Linked DNA regions of Canis lupus familiaris. The protein of the gene in region 2 interacts with the protein of the main gene of each other region in a pairwise test. Links are inferred from orthologs where the notes say so. Each region holds a gene or a part of one and is shown on either strand. Other genes may lie near its edges.

Region 1 (4,474 bases), on a different chromosome or scaffold from region 2:
CTTTACTGGGAGAACTTCAAGATCACTGAAGGCCAGGCTGCATGTCCCAGCTCTGGGGGAAGAAGAGAGGAGAGAGGACAGACAGCCCCCACCAGCCCCCCAGCCTCTGCTTTGGGACTAAACTAATGTTGTCCCAGAAGGTCACATCACTCGGCGCCACCTCCTCAGGCAAATGCTGGCCGCTGTCACCCCATCTCTGTTCCAGCCCTCGGCCCAAAGCCAGTGCGGGCCTCCCCACCGCTCACCTGGGCCATGGCCGTGGTCACTCCCCTGCTTCTTCTTTCCCGATGCTTCTTTGCCTCAGCAGCGTCTCTCTCTCCCTTGTGCGCTAACTCCAGGCACAGCTCCGACCAGCCCTGTGGTCCTGGGGCCCCACCCGCCAGCCTCAGACCTCGCCTCCTCCCCTCTACCTCCCCCCAATACTGGTGCTCCCTCCTGCATCCATGCTTTTCCTCCTTGCCCCAGTTTTTCCACCTGGCAAATCCTCTTGTCCTCTTCACTCCTTGGCCCCTCCTTCTGGAAAGCAGATCCAGTGCGAGCTCAGGTGCATTGGCTGACCTGTCCCCACACCCTGGGGCACCAGACATACCTCCTCGAGCAGGGCTTTGTGGGTGCTTAGTTGACGGGGAACCCGTTTTCCAGCTATACAGAGAAGGGAGCACCACGCCCAGCTGGATCGGCCCACAGAAGAGTTTCAGGGAAAGATCCAGAAATCTGCCCACATGGACAGGGACAGGGGACAGCCCGAAGCTGGGAGACCTGGCAGCAGGTGAGGGCGGCGTGTGCGAGGAGCTTAGCTGAGCCACAGCAGGAGAGGCCGGAGAGGCCCGGGGCCCAGAGCCACTCGGGCCACACTGGCTGAGAGCAGATTCGCAGCTGGAGGCTCAAAACGCGAATCCCCACCCTCCAGTTCCCCTTGATTCCTTCAGAAAATCTAAATTCAAGGCCAAGCCTCGGCTAGTAACTGCGTGGCCTGGGACAGTCACCTAATCCCGCTGGCGAGGGCCTTGGTTCCTTCCTCTGTAGAACAGAGTCCGAAATACCTGTCCTGGGGGATCCGGAGGGTTTAGCAAGATGAAGGTGGTGCTTTGTAAACCCTCCAGGTTTTTGCAGCTAGACCAGGTATGAAGGTACAGTGTCACCAGGTTCCCCTTGCTGCCACGTGCTCGCAGCCTCCTCCAACAGAGAAGCAGAGCATCGCACTGGCATCTTCTCTGTAGCTCACGAAGCACCTCCATCCACCTTCTGGTGGGAGCCCATGTCCCCAGGGGAGCTGAGCGGGTTATTATGGTCCTTTCACATGCCCCAAGCGGGGCAGAGCAGCTCAAGGCCATGCGGCAATTGGGAGGCCGCGGCCCCAACACACCCCCATCCTGTCTAGGAGCCAGGGTCTTTCCTCACTGCCCCAGAAATCAGGGCTCTGGTCCCCCTCTCCCTCCCCCATGCTGTTTTTGAGGTCTCCGGCCAGGGGGCCAGGGGGCCAGGGGCCCTGGGGACAGAGCTGAGGGGCAGCTGAGCTGGGCCTGGTACAGACGCAGAAAGTCTCTCCACCCGCCCCCCTCCCCGGGTTCAGATGTCACACACACTCGGGAGCTGGCCCGTCCCCTGGACAACCGTCAACACAGGCAGAAGCTCAAAACACAGCGGCTCCAGCGCTCTCCCCGCCGACTTCAGCCACTCGGAGCCTGGGGCCTGGGGGGCGGCGGGGAGGACCCCCGCCCAGGCTCAGCCCGGAGCCTCTCTCTCCTGTGTCTCTCTCGATCTCTCCACTTCTCTGTCTCTCTCTGCCTCCCCATCACACCCGTACCCATGGGGAGCCCCCCCACCCCTGGGCTCCAGAAAACCTCGTCCGCTGGGTACCGGCTGCCCTCAACCAGGCCGCCAGCCGTAGATTCCCGCACTGCCCGAGGTGGCCCCGCGGTGGGCAGGGGTCGCCAAGCCCCCCAGGCCCCAGAAGCGGAGCGCTGGGCCCTGGGAACGAACGGTGTGCAGCGGGACCAGCTGTGGAGGGAGCTCTTGGAGGCCGAGAGGAGGGGCCAGCAGCGTTGGTGAGTGCCCTGCCTGACCCTCGGGGTCTAGGAAGCTTCTGGAAAAAGAGAGACCCATGAGAAGGAGTAAGCAGGCAAACGTGTTGGCGTCAAAGTGCTCGGGCCACGAGTTGGGGAGAACACGCCGGCCAGACTGGAGCCCGAGGGTGGGAGGGAGAGGTGGCAGGGGCCAGGTGGCCCAGCGCTCACTCTGGGGTCCCATCTGCCTTTGAATAATCCCTCCAGCTGGAGCCCCAGGGAGAGACTGGGGGGCAGCAGTGGAGGGGGGGAGCCCTCACCCTCTGACCCAAGGGAGAGACATCCCTTCAGGCATCCGATCAATCCAGACATTCCTGTCAGGCTGCGATGAGGGACAACACAGGCCGACACCTGGCTCCTGGGAGCCCCCAGCTCAGGACTGGGCCACCACAAAGCCAGCCGAGAGACAAGAAATAGTGTGGCGAGTGTCATGGAGCGAGGGGTCGGTGGGCACCTTCTTTCTACAGGCTGCTCACAGAGGCCTCTCTGAGGAGGTGGCCCAGAGGCTGTCGGGAAATGTGAGAAGGGGCCACGGAGAGTCTGGTGTTTTTAAAAACAGAACAAAACAAAGACAGTCCATGTGGCTGAGGCAGTCGGCGAGGGGACAGGAGCCTCAAGATCAGACATAGGGGACACCTGGGTGGCTCAGTGGTTGAGGGCCTGCCTTTGGCTCAGGGCATGACCCCGGGGTCCTGGGATGGAGTCTCACATCGGGGTCCCCGCAGGGACCCTGCTTCTCCCTCAGCCTGTATCTCTGCCTCTCTCTCTGCCTCTCATGAATAAATCAATAAAATATTTTTTAAAAAAAAGAAACCTTTAAAAAAAAGATCAGAAGTAGGAGGAACATGTCATATACTGTAAAAGGTCATATTTTTTTAAATGTAATGAGACACCATCAAGGGTTTCGAGGAAGAGCATGATGTGATCTAGCCTGAGATCTGAGAAAACTCGAGGAATGGCTTCATGGTAGCGTTATGAGAACTGCTGATGGATTAGAGTGAGAGGGTGTGTGGTGTGTCTGTGGTGTGTTGGTGTATTGAGGTGTGTGCATGTGTGTGGTGTGGGGGGAGATGTGAGGCATGGGGGTGTGGCAGGTGTGTGTATGTGTGTGTGGTGTGTATGATATGTGCACAGGATGTGTGTGGGGGAAGTTGTGTGTGTGTACACATGTGGTGTGTGTGTGTGGTGTGTAAGGGGGTGGGGGTATAGGGTGTATGTGTGTCCATATGTGGTGTGTGGGCTGTGAGACTGGAGGGTGTGTGGGGTGTGTGTGGTGTTGGTGTGGAGGATGTGTGTATGTGAGATGTGTGGAGGGGTGGGGGTGTATGGAGTGAGGGTGTGCGTGTACAGTGTGCACAGTGTGTGGGGTATGTGTGTGGTGTTTACGGAGTGTTGGTGTGAAGGTTGTGTGTGGTATGTGTGGGGGTGTGTACGTGTGCTGTGTGGGGGGGTGTGTTTGGGGTGGGGGTGGGGTGTGGAGGGTGAATGTGTGTGGGGTATAGGGTTATGTGTGGGGGGCGTATGTGTATGGTGTGTGGTGTGGAGGGGTATGTATGTGGTGTGCGTGTGGCATTGGTGTGGAGGGTGTGTGTACGTGGGGTGTGTGTGTATGTGTGGTGTGTGGAGTGTTGGTGTGTGTGGTATGTGTGTAGGGTGTGTGGTGTGTGAGGTGTTGGTGTGGAGGAGGTGTGTACCTGCTGTGTGTGGTGGGGTGAGGGTGTGTGTGGTGCGTGTGGGGTGTGGGGGGGTGTAGGCAGGGGTTGGGGTGCAGGGGACACTTAAAAGGAAGGGCTGTCGACACAGTAAGGAGCCTGGGGAGAGCAGGAGCCGGAGACCTGAGCAGAGGTGGGAGTGGGGTCCGGGTCCGGGTCCGGGTCCGGGTCCGAGTCGCCGCGAGGACCGTGGGAGGAGCGCCCTGCGGGGCCGGCGGGAGGCCGCCCAGGAGGCCGCTGAGCATCAGCAGTCAAGAGCTGGACGCGGGACCAGGGGACAGAGGGCCGGGAGGCGGCCGGCATCACGGGAGGGACAAGGGCAGCGAGTGACCGCTAAGGGACGTGGGGTCGCTCTAGGGGGTGACGAAAGGCCAGTGCCGGCCACGACTCTGAATATGTGGGAACCGGTGGACCATCCCCCTACAGGGGTGACCCTCACAACCTGCGTGTGCCCCCAGCGAGGAGGGGCCTGAGAACCTGGCGCTGGGACCCCTGGGCTGTCCCTGGAAGGGGCCTCGTGTCCCCGGAGACAAGGTCTTAGACCCAATGGGCACACGCACTCTGAGATGAGCTGAGATGAGCCCCGGACAAGAAAGGGGTCACAGACCCAAGAGGGGAGAGTTTAGGGAAACCCAACAGAAACACCATGTGAGCCACACACGAAATATTCCATATTCTAATGGCAGCCTTAAAAAA
Region 2 (4,342 bases):
TGCCACTAAAAACAATACAGACACTTGGTATTCAGCTCTTAGCTGCTAAAACCACTTGCTCATAAAAGACACCTGAGCTCCTTGGAGAAATACCAGAATCTAGGGCCAAGACAAGGAAAATACAAGATGAGCCTGGAGCATCTTTAAGAGTCAAAAGAAAGAGAGAGCTGAAGGTGGAAAAAAAATAAAAAGAAAAAGAAAAGGAGGCATGGAGCCATGTAAACAGGTGTGACGCAGGAGCCAACCTGAAAGAGCCAAAGGCCAAAGTAGGCTAATTTTAGCAAGAAAGCATTATTGGATTACTAAACAAACCATACAATAAATATCACATACTTAAATCCATACTGATATAAATAAATGATTAAATAAATGGAGGAGAAAAAACCCCAAATCTCTCTTACATAAGAATTCTAAGCGCAGATGCCTCCGCTCCAGGAGGTGGAGTTTAACTCCCATCCTTTTGAGTGTGGGCTGAACTTAATGACTTGCTTCCAAATAATAAAGGGGAAAATAGTCCCTTTACAAAGAAGAAACCGGCAGACACCACCTTACCAAGTGACCAAGGTTAACAGCACCAGCGATAACTTATGTTAACATCACCCCTAATAGTATGCAAATGAAAGGGCAATTGACCTCTTTGCTAGTCTTCACCAAAACCCCAAATTCCAGTCCAATTATGAGAAAACATCAAACAAAGCCAAAGTAGGGAGTCCTACAAAAAATCTGATCAATACTTTTCAAAATTGTCAACCTTATGAAATAAAAGAAAGATTGAGGGACTTAAGGAAGCATAGTATCTAAGTACAAGGTTGGAGCCAAGAACAGTAAAGGACATCAATGGCAAAAGTAATTAAATTTGAAGTCTGCAGTTTAGTTGTGCACTAATGTCAATTTCTTAGTTTTGAAATGATTATGTAAGATGATAGCATTAGGGGAGACTGAGTAGTCTTTATATGCACTGTCTTTATAACTTTGCTAATTATAACCTTATAATTTTAAAATTATCCCCAAATATACAGTTTATTTTTAAAAAATGCAGATGGAACGGTTACAGATTTTTTTTTTTAAGGTTACAGATTTTAAAAATACTGAAAGAAACATAACCAAATGCAATGTGGGGGCATGATTTAGATCCAGACTGGAATAAACTTACTATAAAAAGACCTGGTTGAGACAATGGGGCTGTCCAGATATTAATAAGGAATTGTTAATTTTGCTGGGTGTGATTGTGGTATTGTGGTTATGTTCTAAAATTCTCATCTTTTAGAAATAAAAACTGAAATACTCATCACAGATGAAAGGATGTGATGCTTGGATTTTGCTTTAAAATATTTCCACAAAAAAAAAAAAATAAAATAAAATAAAATAAAATAAAATAAAATATTTCCACAAAACAAATGGAGGAGATGGATGAGGCAAGAGCTGCATAAAGCAAATGACTGGAAACTGGGTGAGGGAAATTTATGGCAATGTTTTCTCGACTTCTGTACCAAGTTGACCATTTCCATACATAAGAAGCTAAAAGAACAAAAAGAAAGATATAAACACCACACACATTCAGACCGATAAGAAGGCTGCCGGTTGGAAGCCATTGAAGAGGAAATTTACCTACAAACTGGGCAATTAACAAGTCCTAACTGGCAAATTTCAGGCTCATTCCTTTTCTCCTCCTGAATAAATACTTACTGGTGGCAGATCAGAAACTAACAGTTAAGGAAAAGTCTAAAGTAAAACAGAATTCCATCAGCCACATTCCATTTATAAAGAAAAAAAAAAAAACTCTTGCAAGGAAGGAATCTTCTGACTCAACCAAGCATGTCTGTGTTGGGGAGGGGGGGGAGAGGGCTACAACAGGCCTCCCCACCATTTAGGTTTTCCTCAAAAGTCTCCAAGTTGTATGGCAAATCTGTGAAGAAACAGCATATAGGGTACCTCGACTCCAGCGGCAGCTAAAACCCATCTTACGGATTCCATCCGGCCTCTTCCATTAGGATAGTGGAGCTTGGGCTTCGCTGCCATGATGGCCTTTCAGGCTTTCTAGAAGGAAAAAAGAAAAAAAAAAAAAAAAAAAAACACAACCAAATGCGCAGCTCCTCCTACAAGAGCAGCCTTATTTCGTGTCTTCCACCCTGTGCTCGCGGCCTAAATGAATATTCAGGATTTTGGCACAGGAAATCGTTTGTTGTTGTTGTTGTTTTAATTGTTGTTTTTTTAAGGACTGCGTTTTCCCTCACTCAATAAAAACCTACCACCGTTTCCAAATATTAAAGGAAACAACCACGTTGGTTTTCATTCTGTTCCTACTTAGGATTTCTTATTCTGGGTCTTAGGAAGCTGGGGACATTTGCTGGATAGGGGTTCGTGCCAGCAGCACGGGCCTTCTTAGATCCGGAAGATCATATCCTTTGACCTTGAAAATCCTGAAATTTCCAAATTCCAAAATCAGGCTGGCGAGGCGGGGCGAGGCGGGACGTGGAGGGCCGCGGGGCACGACGCACCCTCTGCAGCCCTGGCAAGAAGGCGTGCATCCCCGTGCATCCCCGTGCATCCCCGTGCGTCCCCGTGCATCCCCGTGCGTCCCCGTACGCGGTCCTCGCTGCACCTGCAGGTGGAGGGGCCGGGCAGTACTATTGTCTGCAAAACGTGCGTCGGGGGTCCTGCCTGCGGGGTGCCCCCAGGCCTCCGACGTGGCCACCCGAGACCGGACGCCGCTCAGCCCGCGCCTCACCAAGTTTCCGGGGGATCCGAGCTGCGCTTCCACCGAAACCAGAGGCTCCGGACTCCGCGGAGCGGGTTAATAACAATACGCACACGGAGCCAAGGGGGACCCCGGCCCCAGCCAGGGGGTCCCTGGGCGGAGGCGCCCAAGGACCGGAGGGAGGGAGGGACACGAGAGGACCGAAGGGGCCTGGGAGGGAGGGATGCGCTGGACGGTGGACTTCAGAGGCTGGGGGCCGAGGAGCGGGCGGGTGGGGGCGGCCGCAGGGAGACAGACCTGGAGTCGGCTCGCAGCACCCGGAGCCCCACAAAGCGCTCGGCGAGCGGTCTGCGGCGGGGCGGGGCGGGGCCGGCCGGTCCCCGGAAGGCGCCCCGGTGGGCGAGGCTCCGCCAAGCCTCACCAATAGGGACGGCGGTGTTTAGCATGCCCCACCCATCTGCAAGGCATTCTGGATACTATGAGAGCAGCCCCAAATCAAGCCAGTTTTGAGCAAAAATTTCAGCTTTACGAGGAATGGAATGGCCTCGGAAGTGTGGGTTAGGTCACGGTCTTAGATGAAAAGTCCCAGTCGAGAGCCAGTGTGCTCACAGCCACTCGACCTATGTGTAAAGGAAAATCGTCTCTGAGGCATATATAGCGCCTGCGCGGCCCTGGTCTCTCGGATGTGAGGGCGATCTGGCTGCGACATCTGTCACCCCATTGATCGCCAGGGTTGATTCGGCTGATCTGGCTGGCTAGGCGGGTGTCCCCTTCCTCCCTCACCGCTCCATGTGCGTCCCTCCCGAAGCTGCGCGCTCGGTCGAAGAGGACGACCATCCCCGATAGAGGAGGACCGTTCTTCGGTCAAGGGTATACGAGTAGCTGCGCTCCCCTGCTAGAACCTCCAAACAAGCTCTCAAGGTCCATTTGTAGGAGAACGTAGGGTAGTCAAGCTTCCAAGACTCCAGACACATCCAAATGAGGCGCTGCACGTGGCAGTCTGCCTTTCTTTTGACACTTTGACCCTTAGGTTAAGATTTTTCTTTTTTTTTTTAACCCATGCATAAAGGCAAAAGTACCTAAATACTTTTCTAATGTATACTATTAAACAGAACACCCCAAAATAAACAGGACCCATATATTATTAGAACTTGTCCCATTTTGTCTATAGATCATGTACATTTTCCCCCTTTTCTCTCTTGATCATCTTGAGCTTTCCCTTCATTTCTTTTCTTTTTTTTTCCCCTCTTCGTTTCATACGCTTTAAAGACAACCACTCTAAGTCACAGGCTAAATAGAGTACTTCCCTGGATGGGAAAAGGGGGCCATTGGGGTAGAAGTGTCAGTGGAGCTAAAAAAAGTAATTTGGCTGGTAAATAAGTTAAAACTTCAAAAAGTAAAACATAAATAAATAAATAAATAAATAAAACTTCAAAAAGTACAGTAAAGCTATCTTATAGAGCAGAATGCAGAATTGACATGGATCTCAAAGTGTACTGTATACGCCTTCGCCTTCAGGAGGACTTAAGAACTATTTCTTGCTTTTAGAAGTAGCTTCGGCTATTTCTCAAGCTATAGATGTTGATATTATGTCCTCCCTGAGGGACTCCTGAGAGTATCTGCCTTGAGAAGCCTTGGTGCTGA

The links.
Region 1: the proteins of GSTA4 (region 2) and C17H2orf50 interact in binary tests that used the Homo sapiens proteins (3 or more experiments, as listed by UniProt). The two-hybrid records come from large-scale screens. The link is inferred for Canis lupus familiaris from reciprocal best matches to the Homo sapiens genes GSTA4 and CIMIP5.

Annotation. Positions count from the first base shown.
Region 1 is NC_049238.1:7,907,736-7,912,209, forward strand, and holds the start of C17H2orf50 (uncharacterized protein C2orf50 homolog), read left to right. Parts: upstream 1-1,656; 5' UTR 1,657-1,809; coding exon 1,810-2,048; intron 2,049-4,474.
Region 2 is NC_049233.1:20,685,393-20,689,734, forward strand, and holds the start of GSTA4 (glutathione S-transferase A4), read right to left. Parts: upstream 3,045-4,342; 5' UTR 2,996-3,044; intron 2,038-2,995; 5' UTR 2,020-2,037; coding exon 1,933-2,019; intron 1-1,932. UniProt on the Homo sapiens protein: Conjugation of reduced glutathione to a wide number of exogenous and endogenous hydrophobic electrophiles. This isozyme has a high catalytic efficiency with 4-hydroxyalkenals such as 4-hydroxynonenal (4-HNE).